Pelodiscus sinensis: one gene and its partner. The protein of the gene in region 2 purifies or fractionates together with the protein of the main gene of each other region. This does not show direct contact. Links are inferred from orthologs where the notes say so. Each region holds a gene or a part of one and is shown on either strand. Other genes may lie near its edges.

What was found.
Region 1: the proteins of DBN1 (region 2) and TMOD1 purify together in Homo sapiens (co-immunoprecipitation; 3 studies listed by BioGRID and IntAct, with this or other methods). This does not show direct contact. The link is inferred for Pelodiscus sinensis from reciprocal best matches to the Homo sapiens genes DBN1 and TMOD1.

What each region holds. Positions count from the first base shown.
Region 1 is NC_134716.1:398,725-405,835, reverse strand, and holds the start of TMOD1 (tropomodulin-1), read left to right. Parts: upstream 1-4,087; 5' UTR 4,088-4,244; intron 4,245-4,396; exon of another isoform or gene 4,397-4,617; intron 4,618-7,111. Other genes in the region: TDRD7 (tudor domain-containing protein 7), read left to right, coding at 783-1,003. UniProt on the Homo sapiens protein: Blocks the elongation and depolymerization of the actin filaments at the pointed end. The Tmod/TM complex contributes to the formation of the short actin protofilament, which in turn defines the geometry of the membrane skeleton.
Region 2 is NW_027465882.1:1,807-8,834, reverse strand, and holds the start of DBN1 (drebrin), read right to left. Parts: upstream 3,052-7,028; 5' UTR 2,996-3,051; intron 636-2,995; 5' UTR 589-635; coding exon 523-588; intron 1-522. UniProt on the Homo sapiens protein: Actin cytoskeleton-organizing protein that plays a role in the formation of cell projections. Required for actin polymerization at immunological synapses (IS) and for the recruitment of the chemokine receptor CXCR4 to IS.

The DNA of each region.
Region 1 (7,111 bases), on a different chromosome or scaffold from region 2:
CATCTCATGTATCTAGCATGTGATGAACTCACCGGAGTGCCTCTTGGGGCTAACCTGACTGCTCCTTCCACAAGTTCTCACATCTCTTCGGCTGCTTTCCTAGCTCAAGTCCCTATTCAAGGTATCTGCTGGGCAGCAACCTAGTCCTCCATGCACACATTCTCAGTGTACTGTGCCTGTTCCCAGTCAGCCATAGCCGATGCCAGCTTTGGCTGTACAGTGTTGCAGTCGCCTTGTCCTTGAACTCAGAGCCAACCTCCTGCACAACTGCTTGCGCGTCCTTTCATTGGAACAGACATGTGTAAGCACTCAAAGAAAACTGTTACTAATCTTTCTGTAACTGTTGTTTGAGATGTTGCACGTGTCCATTCCTTATACCAATGCTACGAGCATCCAGCAACCCGGCTGATAATAGTGCTAGAGCCAACCCGACCGATTCCACTAAGGGGGAAAATCCAGCAGCTATGCTTGGGGCTGCTCACTCCTACATTGGAATGGATGGATGCAACTCCTCTTGAGGAACAACAGTTATTGGAAGGTTAGTAGCTGTTTTTCACAATGTGACACACTTGACAGTCCTTATATGGGAGGCTAGAACAGCCACTGGAAATGAGATTGAGGGTTGGAATGCTTTTACAGAGCTGCTAGCCTCTTGAGCTTCTTCCACTTCCTTAAGGACTAGATTACTAAGAATCTTGGGGCTGGGTTTTTTTGTCACTTACATCAGTCTTTTCTTTAAATGACCTTATTTGCTTGATTTTTTTTTTTTTTTCCCCCCCTAGGAGTGAAATGCGAACAGTGGTCAGAAGATGCATCCATAGTGTTTCGAAACCATGTAGAGAAGAAACCACTGGTGGCACTGGTACAAGCAGTTAATGAAAGCACAAACTCTTGGGATCGAAAAATAGTGACCTACTTAGTAGACACCTCACTGCCAGAGACTGATATATGGATTCATGACTTTATGTCTCAATATTTTGTGGAGCTTTCAAAGGTTAATTAATCACTGTTTCTGAAACTATTGCAACTAATTCAGTTTCTTCAGCAATAAAAGAAAATGTATCAGGCTTTTAAAGAGAAATTTAACTGTTCTTACATGGCCTTGAATATATGAATGTGAGGTTTGAAAAATCTGATGCTAGTAGACTGTGAAAAGAGATTTAACAAGTTTCTGTTTTCTTTTAATTGACTTTCCAAGAACTTGCACTTTGTTTACTGGTGAGGTGTTAGAATGTTGGAGTGAAAATACAGATTAAGTAAAATTGTATTTATCAATAAAATTATTGGTGGCTTTTGTCTTATTTTATTGCTGAATTCTTTTTTCGTTCTTAAAGTTACTGGAGTTTGAGACTGGTCAAAATTTGAGTTGATTTACAAGTTGCTAATTTCTGCATCACAGTTATTCCCGTGCTTAATGAAAACAAACATCACATCTGAACTGATTCCTTATTTGTTGGTAGTTTCAGAAATATCATATCCCAGAATACAGACTGTAAGAATTGTGCTTGCTTTTGCATAGAGGTGGCAGAAGCATAACCTACGTATATCTTAAACAGATATTCTAGTAGCACCTTAAAAACTAACAGCACATGTGTAGATGGTATGAGTTTTCATGGGCAAAACCCATTTCTTCAGATGACTGGAGTATAAGTCTAGACCCAAGAATAAATAAGGGAAGGGGGGGGGGGAGGAAAAAGGAGAGGGGAGGAAGACAGAGATACAGTGAGTAGATAGTTCAAATGGTTACAAGAGGCTCTTAAGAACCATTAGCACCTCCATTGTTTGGTTGGTGAGGTCATTAAAAGGTGGAAGATAGTGTGCGCATCATCCTCTGTCCGGGTTCAGACCATTGACATGAGAATTAAACTTGTGAATGAAGTTAAGTTCCAATCCTTCTCTGTGTATTTGACTTGTGGAATTGGTCTGAAACAAAACTGCAACTTAGAGATCCATTAATGAGTGTCCAGGAAGATTAAAGTGTTCTCCAACAGGTTTTTGTGTGTTGCCTTTTCAGCTATCTGATGTGTGTCCATCCACCCCTGCAATCTGCTGTGGTGCCCACTCTGCCCACACATCTACACAAGTGATTTCATCACTGGACCCAATGACATCAGCCACCAAATCAGAGGCTCATTTAACTGTACATAGTGTGATCTATGCCATCCAATGCCAGCAATGCCTCACTGCCATGTATATTGGCCAAACTGGACAGTTTCTACGGGAAAGAATTAATGGGCACAAATCAGATATCCGAAAAGGCAACACACAAAAACTGTTGGAGAACTCTTGGGGACAATCAATACGGCATGGGTAGCGCGTGCTGTAAATGGATATGCTGTAGCTACCCAAGAGATTTTGCAGGGAAGATTCACTGTGGGCAGCCAAGGCTGCATCACCTGCAAACAAGAAGTCTCTCAAAACCAGCTTTCTGCTTGAAGTCCTGTGAGGCTGGACAAGCCTCCAGAAAGTCTGCTTCGAAGATCAATGCTGTCCTTGCTGTCCTTGCAGTCATGAAAAAGCAAGAATGAACAGTAGCTGTTAAAGCCCATGCTGGCTAGGATGCACCTGTTTCACCATCTTATATCAGTGGTGGAGCATCCTGAGAAAAAAACACTCTTGAGGTTCAGGATAGACCTAGAAATTGCAGCTCGGGGAGCATAATGCATGTGTTCAATTGCTACTCCCACAGTTGTCAGTCACTTCTCTCCCCCTTGTCTCTGTAATTGTACAAAGCAAGTGTCTTGGAAATCTTGTGGCACCACTTCCTCTTTCCCACGGCTCAGTGCCTTGTTCCCAGCAATGGCTTAATGGCTTTCCAGGGGCTGATTTCTTCTGGCTTGGGCCAATTGCTCGGGCGCTTCCTTCATACATTCCACAGCTGCGAATATCAGAACGCTTCAGCTAAGCCAGCTTTTGCCTTTCTCTTCAGGCCTTGAGATTTCCAGTTTGCTGGTGTTGGAGGGTCTCTTGCAGATGTTAGTGCTGTCCGGCTCTCAACCAGTGAGAGTGGGGTTGCAGTGCTTTTCAAACCGGTCTGCGTATTTCTAGCTCTCTTCCCCACCACCCGGCCCAATGCTGTTACCTCAGCCATAGTGGTGGAGTTGGAAGATAAAACTTCCTTGCGCACTATTCAATGAAGTTGTGAATCTTTGTACATCTTCAGCTGGGCAGGTAGCTTTGCTAGGGTAGTCTGCTGCAGTGGCAATACCCAAAAGATCTGAGGCATGAGCCGTGCGAGTCAGCACTGAGATACGGTCTCTGCCACTGATTTTCTTTTGGATGCCTGAGTTTGGCCAGTGCTAGACCTGATTGGAGTCCATGCCCTGATCTTGGATGTTTCCTTGTAACTTGCCCAACCAAGTGGGGGGTTGGTAACAGAGTTTGGATGTGCCGTGTTCTAACGCTCACTGGCCATTTTCATTCCTTTTGCCAATTCCACGTTTGCCCCAAATACCAGGCCAGTTCCCATCACTCTGTCCAACTCTTGCCTTGAAGTACATCACATGTTATAATGGCCTGTGGCAGAAGCCGCACCACGGCCGCACCTTGCAGCCGTACTGGTCCTTTGCTTGGGGATCCCTATTGCTACCTCCCCCTGCCCCGTTCCTTGTAGGGTTGGACTCTTGTGCCATCACTGCTGCCACTGGGGGCAGGAGCCTTGCCCTGCTGCCAAGGGCAGGAGCCTGTTTGTACCCCAGGTGTTCCAGCTGTTGCCTGGCACTGTATGATTGCAACAGCCACCACCCTTTGGCAGGGCCCTCTGCCCCAGCAGCGTGCCGGAGTCCACTGGGGCTCCGTGGGGGGAGTTACTTTCAGTACTGGGGGAGAGCTGAAGAGAGACCTTTGGGGGATGCAGGCTTTGCTTTTCCCAGTAGCACTGCAGGCGGCAGTGCCCCGGTGCTATTTACGCTGTGGCACGGTGCGGGTGTAAGAGTGTGGGGGTTCAAAGGGTTGGGTTGGATTGGGGGAGCGCGCTGGGGCGGGACGAGGTTTGGGGAGGTGGTGGAGGCAGCGATTGGATGTGCGGGGAAGGGCAGAGGTTGGATCAGGGCTGGGGCGGTGGGGGTAGGGCGGGGGCGTGTTGGGGAACGCCCCGCCCCGCCCCGCTTGAGTGGCAGCCGCGGGCGTCGGAGCCGCCTCCCCGCAGGACGCAGGGCAGCGCATCTCGCCGCCCGGGCAAGACGCGGCCGCAGCAGCCCGTGCGCCCCTGGCCCCGCGCCCCCGCCCGTGCGCCCCGAGCCCCGGTAAGCGCCGCGCCCGCGGCTCCGGCCCCCAGCGCGCCCCGCACCCGGCTCCCCGCGGCCCCAGCCCATATCTGGGCAAAATATTCGGCTGTCAGCGCGCGGGACCGAGCGCTATAAATAGCCCGGCTGGCTGCGCGCAAGGCGCCGGGCAGGGGAGCTGGGCACAGGGGCTGGAACCTGGGGAGTGGGGGCTGGTCCTGCCCGGCCCCATGCTGGGCTGGACTCCACCTGCGCGGACTTGTCCAGGGCCGGGCGGGTGCAGCCCTGCTCCCCCTGGGGCAGGTGACCCGGCTGCCTGCTCCTGCCCCAGTCCCATGCTCCCAGCCCCCTCGCAGCAGAGACTCCCCTGAGCCCCAGAGTGAGTGTGGAGCTGGTGAGCGGTGCTGGGTGTGGGGTAAACTATTACCGGGGTGCCCAGAGGTGCCGGGGCCTCTGTGCGTCAGAACGGCGAAGTATAGCGGTGCCTTCGATGCTCCGTGCACAGGGACTTGGATGAACATTGGCAGCCTCGCCGAATGACCATGAATCTCCCAGAGGCGCTGCCCTTCCTGTCCGTGAGGTGCCTCGCTCGGCTATTTCTGTCCAGCCCAGCTGGGCCTCGGACTGGCTCCCCGCCCTTGATAGAGTCACCGCTCGGGCCTGCTGCTTGTGGCCAGCGTGATGGAGACTCCTCCTTGGGTGCCTCCTCCAGAGAGGCGTTTTGGGGCTGTGGCTCGCGGGCCCGGCCTGGTGCGTTGGCCGGCGGGAGGGGTGTTGTGTTCCCCAGCGCTGGCAGAGAGCAGACTCTCCTTTGTGGCTGGTCTGTGGGGCTTGTCGATCCCAGCATAGATCCATGCTGCTTGGGATCAGGCGCTGGCTTCTGAGTGACTGAGCCGTGTGAGCTGCCCCGCAGGTGTGAGGGCCGATGTCCGGCGTCCATTGGGAAAGGCTCTCCAGAGCATGCCCTCGCAAGCAGTCCCTCCCTTCTGTCGGGAGGCTCCCAGGGCCTGTCACTTGGTCTGTCTTGCAGTGATTGGCCCGTGGCTTTGGCCCACACGCTCAGTCTCTCAGCAGCTTTTCCTCGGTCAGCCCCGGGTTTCGGTTGCGATTTCATCCCGCTTCCCTTATGTCCGCCTTGGGCCAGCCCAACTCTTCCCCTGCTTCCCCCGCCCCAGCGGCTGCCCCGTCGGGCAGTGGGCCAGTGTGGCACGCAGGTCCCTACCGGGCTGGCTGCCATGCCGCTGGCACTGCTTGCTAATTACACCCACCCCCGCTAGGCTCTGAGCTGGCAAAGCCCCTAACGCTGACCCTAAGGACGTTTCTAGCACCCTGGGAATGCTCGCGCGCTCTCCAGCCTGCTTCCGCTGAGCTCCATGGCGATTTGAATCGCCCGCTAGTCCCCGAGTTACTGCCCTCTGGCCAGTGCTGGGATCCGAGGGCCCCTGGCGGCATGGCTCAGTGTCACGGGAAGGGCTCTCGGTGCCCCTCGGGGCCTGCTGCCCAAAGCTGCCTTTCCCAGCAGGGTTCCATGGCCGACTCGTACCTCGCTCTCCGCTGCATTTCTGCTCCCCCCAGGGCTGCCCCCCCAGGGCGTCTCTGTTTCCGCTTTCTCCCCCAACCCTGCCCTGTTCCGCGTTGAGTCGGTTTCCCTTTTCCTGCTCAGCATTTACATACCCTGGCTGTTTGTGTGGTTAGTCCCCATCCCACCCCGCTGGCAGCACCTCCTAGCCTCGTACCTGTCTGTCACGAAGATAACGAAGCATGCGGCACGTCTGTGGGGGTGTTTGGAGGCAGGCCGTACCATCCCATAGGGCAGGGGTGGGGGCCTCAGGCCCGGGGGCCGGATCCAGCCCCCAAGGCCCTGGGCTCCCTCCCCTGCATTGGGGAGCTGGTGCTGGCCCTGCAGCCCCCACCCCTGCAGTCTTGCCCCAAAGGGCTGGAGCCCCAACACTGTCTCCATGCTGTGGGGGGAAGCCCCGAGCCTCACGGGCCAGCCAGGCAAGCTGGAACCGGATCCAGCCCATGGGTGGAGGGAGGAAATGGCTCCTGTGCCCTACTTCCTATCCCCAGGCTGCCCCAGCACCCTGTTGCCCTCGCAGAGCCACCAACCCCAAACCCGCTCCGGCACCCTCCCTCCAGACCCCAAGCCTTCCCCACACTGAACCCCTCCTTTGTGGCCCCCGCCGAAAGCCTGGGTTCCCCCAGCTCTGGTGTGCGAAGGAAATGTGAGGAGCGTCACCTGATCTTTCTGTGGGTCAGCAGCCCTTCCCCAGAAAGGTTCCCCAGCCCTTATAAAGTGACGCGTTGTGGTTTATTACCCGTTGGTTCTCGTGCACTTGTTCTGGTCGGTTTCCCAGTAGTGGGATGGAAGGCCGTTTGAATTCATGTTCCAGGGTAGGTGTGGTGACGCGTTGCATTGCAATCTCTGTATTCGCTGCTCTTTCCCCAAAAGCAATTCTTTGTGATGTATCGTTGCCGCTCCATTGCCAGCTCACTGTCCAGGATTCCTTTTTCTTCCAAGCACTTGCAGACATTTAATAGGGTCTGAATCCGTATTTCATTTTTATAGTTTGAATTAATGACTTCGCTTAATTAACTGTTAGAGGCCCGTTTTTCTGTTCCGTACAGCAGTTTTATGCTGGGGGAATTCCTTGTTATTTCATTGGTACTGTGCTGGTACAGAAGCAGCATAACAGAATGGAGAATGAGGCCCTGTAGTTAATTACCTACAAGCTATTTTGGTTCAAAGAATTTTAATTTTAGCTCTGCAGTTCACCTGTAATTAGAGCATGTGCTGCCACAGCGCTGTAATCCGCGTGGCTTGTTGGCTGCGGTCAGACCCAGCAGGAGGCGTGTAAGGATCCCAATAATTAACGGTGCCGTCACTT
Region 2 (7,028 bases):
CAATGGCAAGGCAGAGCTGCGGGACCGTCACTCCCGGCAGGGCGGGCACGTGGCTCCGCCTGGATCCCAGGGGCCCAGTGAGGCTCCAGGGCGCTGGGGCAGCCCTACCCCCCTGGCCACCCCAGCGGGGCCCGGTGCAGGGACACAGAGCTCCACTAGGTGGGGTCCCTGGAAAAGCTCTGGGGCCCCGAACACCACAGGCCCCCCCAAGCTCCGGCAGGCCCATCGCACCCCCCAGGCGTGTGCCGAGTCTCCCCCGCCAGCCGGGGGCGCTGCGCGGGGCTCAGACACGCACTGCCAAGTGGCTGGAGGGGCTAGAACCGCCCCACCCCCACTCGCCCCCTCCTGCGCACAGACTAGTGTCAGGCCAGGAACACCCCCCCCAGCATGTAGGGCAGGCACCCCACTCCTGCAGAACGGCCCGGCTCCACCCCTCGCTGCATCCCACCTGTGGGGCTGCAAACAGGCCAAAAGGGGGTGTCCCGGCCTGCACCCCCGCATGGAGCCCTCTGCCCCACTCACCCAGTTGACCAGGACGTATTTGGGCAGGGCTGCCTGGGGCTCCTTCACGCTGCAGAAGCCATACATCACCTTCTGGTTCTCAAAGTGGCCAGAGAGCTCCTGCAAGCCGCCTCCTGCCGGGCGGGGAGGAATCACAGGCGCTCAGTGTGTCCCCCCACGGGCGAGGAGGAATCACAGGCGCTCAGTGTGTCCCCCCACGGGCGGGGAGGAATCACAGGCGCTCAGTGTGTCCCCCCACGGGCGGGGAGGAATCACAGGCGCTCAGTGTGTCCCCCCACGGGCGGGGAGGAATCACAGGCGCTCAGTCTGTCCCCCCACGGGCGGGGAGGAATCACAGGCGCTCAGTCTGTCCCCCCACGGGCGGGGAGGAATCACAGGCGCTCAGTGTGTCCCCCCACGGGCGGGGAGGAATCACAGGCGCTCAGTGTGTCCCCCCACGGGCGGGGAGGAATCACAGGCGCTCAGTGTGTCCCCCCACGGGCGGGGAGGAATCACAGGCGCTCAGTGTGTCCCCCCACGGGCGAGGAATCACAGGCGCTCAGTGTGTCCCCCCACGGGCGGGGAGGAATCACAGGCGCTCGGTCTGTCCCCCCACGGGCGGGGAGGAATCACAGGCGCTCGGTCTGTCCCCCCACGGGCGGGGAGGAATCACAGGCGCTCGGTCTGTCCCCCCACGGGCGGGGAGGAATCACAGGCGCTCGGTCTGTCCCCCCACGGGCGGGGAGGAATCACAGGCGCTCGGTCTGTCCCCCCACGGGCGGGGAGGAATCACAGGCGCTCGGTGTGTCCCCCCACGGGCGGGGAGGAATCACAGGCGCTCGGTGTGTCCCCCCACGGGCGGGGAGGAATCACAGGCGCTCGGTCTGTCCCCCCACGGGCAGGGAGGAATCACAGGCGCTCGGTCTGTCCCCCCACGGGCGGGGAGGAATCACAGGCGCTCGGTGTGTCCCCCCACGGGCAGGGAGGAATCACAGGCGCTCGGTGTGTCCCCCCACGGGCAGGGAGGAATCACAGGCGCTCGGTGTGTCCCCCCACGGGCAGGGAGGAATCACAGGCGCTCGGTCTGTCCCCCCACGGGCAGGGAGGAATCACAGGCGCTCAGTGTGTCCCCCCACGGGCGGGGAGGAATCACAGGCGCTCAGTGTGTCCCCCCACGGGCGGGGAGGAATCACAGGCGCTCAGTGTGTCCCCCCACGGGCGGGGAGGAATCACAGGCGCTCGGTCTGTCCCCCCACGGGCGGGGAGGAATCACAGGCGCTCGGTCTGTCCCCCCACGGGCGGGGAGGAATCACAGGCGCTCGGTCTGTCCCCCCACGGGCGGGGAGGAATCACAGGCGCTCGGTCTGTCCCCCCACGGGCGGGGAGGAATCACAGGCGCTCGGTCTGTCCCCCCACGGGCGGGGAGGAATCACAGGCGCTCGGTGTGTCCCCCCACGGGCGGGGAGGAATCACAGGCGCTCGGTGTGTCCCCCCACGGGCAGGGAGGAATCACAGGCGCTCGGTCTGTCCCCCCACGGGCGGGGAGGAATCACAGGCGCTCGGTGTGTCCCCCCATGGGCAGGGAGGAATCACAGGCGCTCGGTGTGTCCCCCCACGGGCAGGGAGGAATCACAGGCGCTCAGTGTGTCCCCCCACGGGCAGGGAGGAATCACAGGCGCTCGGTCTGTCCCCCCACAGGCGGGGAGGAATCACAGGCGCTCGGTGTGTCCCCCCACGGGCAGGGAGGAATCACAGGCGCTCGGTGTGTCCCCCCACAGGCAGGGAGGAATCACAGGCGCTCGGTGTGTCCCCCCACGGGCGGGGAGGAATCACAGGCGCTCGGTGTGTCCCCCCACGGGTGGGGAGGAATCACAGGCGCTCAGTGTGTCCCCCCACGGGCGGGGAGGAATCACAGGCGCTCAGTCTGTCCCCCCACGGGCGGGGAGGAATCACAGGCGCTCAGTGTGTCCCCCCACAGGCAGGGAGGAATCACAGGCGCTCGGTGTGTCCCCCCACGGGCGGGGAGGAATCACAGGCACTCGGTGTGTCCCCCCACGGGCAGGGAGGAATCACAGGCGCTCAGTGTGTCCCCCCACGGGCAGGGAGGAATCACAGGCGCTCAGTGTGTCCCCCTACGGGCGGGGAGGAATCACAGGCACTCGGTGTGTCCCCCCACGGGCGGGGAGGAATCACAGGCACTCGGTGTGTCCCCCCACGGGCGGGGAGGAATCACAGGCGCTCAGTGTGTCCCCCTACGGGCGGGGAGGAATCACAGGCACTCGGTGTGTCCCCCCACGGGCGGGGAGGAATCACAGGCGCTCAGTGTGTCCCCCTACGGGCGGGGAGGAATCACAGGCGCTCGGTCTGTCCCCCCATGGGTGGGGAAGTATCCACAGGCTGGCTGTCCTCCCCCCAGGTGGCAAGTGCTTTGGGGAGGGGTGTTTAGGCTCTCTAGCCCCCCTTGGCAGGAGGCCCAGGGCAGGGGACCCCTTACCTCCCGACGCAGCCAGCTTCAGGTCATCAGAGTCATCCTCGTAGGTGTACAGAGCCCTGCGGGAGGAGAGCCTGTGAGGGGCACAGCAGCGCTCCACTGCAGCCTGCACCCCACCAGCAGGGGGCGGCCTCGCGCCATGCACAGTGCACCTGCTGCAGGAGCTGGGGTGGGCCGGACCCCCCCATAGCAAGGGGGGCCAGCAGGGGGCGGGCGGCTGGACTCTACACTGGGCACTCCAGCTACAATGCGAAGTCCCTCCCTGGGGCAGTGGTGTGTGGGCCTGGGGGCTGTCAGCGTGGGCCTCTCCTCTCCCTCCACAGCGGGGCCAGCGGGAGCAGGGCGGCGCCCGAGGCCCAGGGAGAAACCCCCCCTGGCTGCGCCCAGTGAAAGGCGACGGAATCCCAGTGCCTGGCGCCCACTGGGTGAGCAGGGAGCCTGGGGGAGGGCGGCAGGGACTGGCAGCGGGAGGGGGAAATGGGTCCCAGCCCCCCGCCCTAGCTGCCAAGCAGGCCCTTTTCGCCAGCCCCCCAGGCAGCGTGCTGGCAGCTCCCCTACGAGCTGGGGGGGACCAGGCTTCACCCCTCTGGGGCCAGTCAGCAGCTGTCAGGCGGGCCCGTGGGCCTGGGGCAGCAGCCCCCCCCAGGCCGGAGCTGCTCACGTTCCCGGCTGCGTGAGCCCCTGGCAGGGAGCAGCAGCAAATCAATGAGCCATCAGGGTGCGATGGGGACTCCATGGAGACGGTTCCTTGGATACCGGCCCCTCTCCAGGCTGGGCTTGGCACGGCCCCCGCCCCCTGCCCCCCGTGTGTCCCCTGCCCCCCACAGCGGCCCCTCCTCAAAGGTGGGGGTGGGCAGCCGGCAGAGTCGGTCCAGGGCTGGTGGGCGAAGGCAGGGAAATTTCAGCTTATCTAGGCAACCAGCATCCTGTCTCCATGGCAACCACCCAGCTCTCCAGCTGGGATGGAACTCACAAGAGGAGGTGATTAGTGGGGAAGTGGGGGGGGGGGGGCGCTGGTCTCTGGCAGGGGCACTAGCTGCAGCACATCCCCCCTGTGCCCCCCCTGTGCCCCCCCCCCCCGACACAGACCACTCCCCACTGCGGACTGCCCCACCCGGGCCTCCCCCCCACCCCCAGGCTATCTGCATTTCCCCATCCCAGGCCCCGAGGGCTTGCTGCTTGGTGAAGCCGGGGCATTTGCTGACTCACCACATTCCCAGTCTGATGAGCTGTGAGCCCTCCGCCCCCCAGCCTGCCCTGTCCCATGTGGGGCGGAGGGCCGCATGGGTGCAGTGGCAGGAGGGGGAATCATGCGCCCTGGCCCCAGGCAGTCTCCAGCAGGCGTCTGTCACCCCTCCCTGGGGGCCCCAAGGAAGGACTGCCACATCCCGCCCCCTCCCACCCTGCCCCTTGCTCTGCCTGGCTCCCAGCCCCCTTTCACACACCAAACCCAAAGCCAGACATGCTCCCCTTCCCACAGGAGACTGGCCCCCCCGCCGTGAGACACAGAGAAGGACACCAGGGAGGCGAGTGCTAACCCGCTGGATCGCAGCCCAGGGCACCGCTGCAACTCACCAGAACAGAGGGGAGTCCCGAAGGGCAGCGCCCCAAGACACCGTCCTGCTCAGCAGTGGGGAGCCCCCGGGGACCTGCGCCCCACAGGCCCCAGTGGAGCGGGTCCAGCCTGGACCTGCACAGACCCCAGCACCGGGCGCTGCCCATCTCCCGGCAATGCCCCGAGGCTCTGCCAGTGCCAGGCAGCACCCTGTGCAGGGAACAAGCCCTCATTTCCCCACCCCCACCCCAGCCCCCCCAGTGCACAGGGCAGACTGGGGCTAGAGATGCCCATGGGAAGCGTGAGGGCCCTGCCGGGGGGCAGGCTGAGGCTGCAGGTGCCCACGGGAAGCGTGAGGGCCCTGCCGGGGGGCAGGCTGGGGCTGCAGGTGCCCAGGGGAAGCGTGAGGGCCCTGCCGGGGGGGCAGGCTGGGGCTGCAGGTGCCCACGGGAAGCGTGAGGGCCCTGCCGGGGGGCAGGCTGGGGCTGCAGGTGCCCACGGGAAGCGTGAGGGCCCTGCCGGGGGGCAGGCTGGGGCTGCAGGTGCCCACGGGAAGCGTGAGGGCCCTGCCGGGGGGCAGGCTGGGGCTGCAGGTGCCCAGGGGAAGCGTGAGGGCCCTGCCGGGGGGGCAGGCTGGGGCTGCAGGTGCCCACGGGAAGCGTGAGGGCCCTGCCGGGGGGCAGGCTGGGGCTGCAGGTGCCCAGGGGAAGCGTGAGGGCCCTGCCGGGGGGGCAGGCTGGGGCTGCAGGTGCCCACGGGAAGCGTGAGGGCCCTGCCGTGGGGCAGGCTGGGGCTGCAGGTGCCCACGGGAAGCGTGAGGGCCCTGCCGGGGGGCAGGCTGGGGCTGCAGGTGCCCACGGGAAGCGTGAGGGCCCTGCCGTGGGGCAGGCTGGGGCTGCAGGTGCCCACGGGAAGCGTGAGGGCCCTGCCGGGGGGCAGGCTGGGGCTGCAGGTGCCCACGGGAAGCGTGAGGGCCCTGCCGGGGGGCAGGCTGGGGCTGCAGGTGCCCAGGGGAAGCGTGAGGGCCCTGCCGGGGGGCAGGCTGGGGCTAGAGATGCCCATGGGAAGCGTGAGGGCCCTGCCGGGGGGCAGGCTGGGGCTGCAGGTGCCCACGGGAAGCGTGAGGGCCCTGCCGGGGGGCAGGCTGGGGCTAGAGATGCCCACGGGAAGCGTGAGGGCCCTGACGTGGGGCAGGCTGGGGCTGCAGGTGCCCAGGGGAAGCGTGAGGGCCCTGCCGGGGGGCAGGCTGGGGCTAGAGATGCCCACGGGAAGCGTGAGGGCCCTGCCGGGGGGCAGGCTGGGGCTGCAGGTGCCCACGGGAAGCGTGAGGGCCCTGCCGGGGGGCAGGCTGGGGCTAGAGATGCCCATGGGAAGCGTGAGGGCCCTGCCGGGGGGCAGGCTGGGGCTGCAGGTGCCCACGGGAAGCGTGAGGGCCCTGCCGGGGGGCAGGCTGGGGCTAGAGATGCCCACGGGAAGCGTGAGGGCCCTGCCGGGGGGCAGGCTGGGGCTAGAGATGCCCATGGGAAGCGTGAGGGCCCTGCCGGGGGGCAGGCTGGGGCTAGAGATGCCCACGGGAAGCGTGAGGGCCCTGCCGTGGGGCAGGCTGGGGCTGCAGGTGCCCATGGGAAGCGTGAGGGCCCTGCCGTGGGGCAGGCTGGGGCTGCAGGTGCCCACGGGAAGCGTGAGGGCCCTGCCGGGGGGCAGGCTGGGGCTAGAGATGCCCACGGGAAGCGTGAGGGCCCTGCCGGGGGGCAGGCTGGGGCTGCAGGTGCCCACGGGAAGCGTGAGGGCCCTGCCGGGGGGCAGGCTGGGGCTGCAGGTGCCCACGGGAAGCGTGAGGGCCCTGCCGGGGGGCAGGCTGGGGCTAGAGATGCCCACGGGAAGCGTGAGGGCCCTGCCGTGGGGCAGGCTGGGGCTGCAGGTGCCCACGGGAAGCGTGAGGGCCCTGCCGTGGGGCAGGCTGGGGCTGCAGGTGCCCACGGGAAGCGTGAGGGCCCTGCCGGGGGGCAGGCTGGGGCTGCAGGTGCCCACGGGAAGCGTGAGGGCCCTGCCGGGGGGCAGGCTGGGGCTGCAGGTGCCCACGGGAAGCGTGAGGGCCCTGCCGGGGGGCAGGCTGGGGCTGCAGGTGCCCAGGGGAAGCGTGAGGGCCCTGCCGGGGGGCAGGCTGGGGCTGCAGGTGCCCACGGGAAGCGTGAGGGCCCTGCCGGGGGGCAGGCTGGGGCTGCAGGTGCCCACGGGAAGCGTGAGGGCCCTGCCGGGGGGCAGGCTGGGGCTAGAGATGCCCACGGGAAGCGTGAGGGCCCTGCCGGGGGGCAGGCTGGGGCTGCAGGTGCCCACGGGAAGCGTGAGGGCCCTGCCGGGGGGCAGGCTGGGGCTGCAGGTGCCCACGGGAAGCGTGAGGGCCCTGCCGGGGGGCAGGCTGGGGCTGCAGGTGCCCACGGGAAGCGTGAGGGCCCTGCCGGGGGGCAGGCTGGGGCTGCA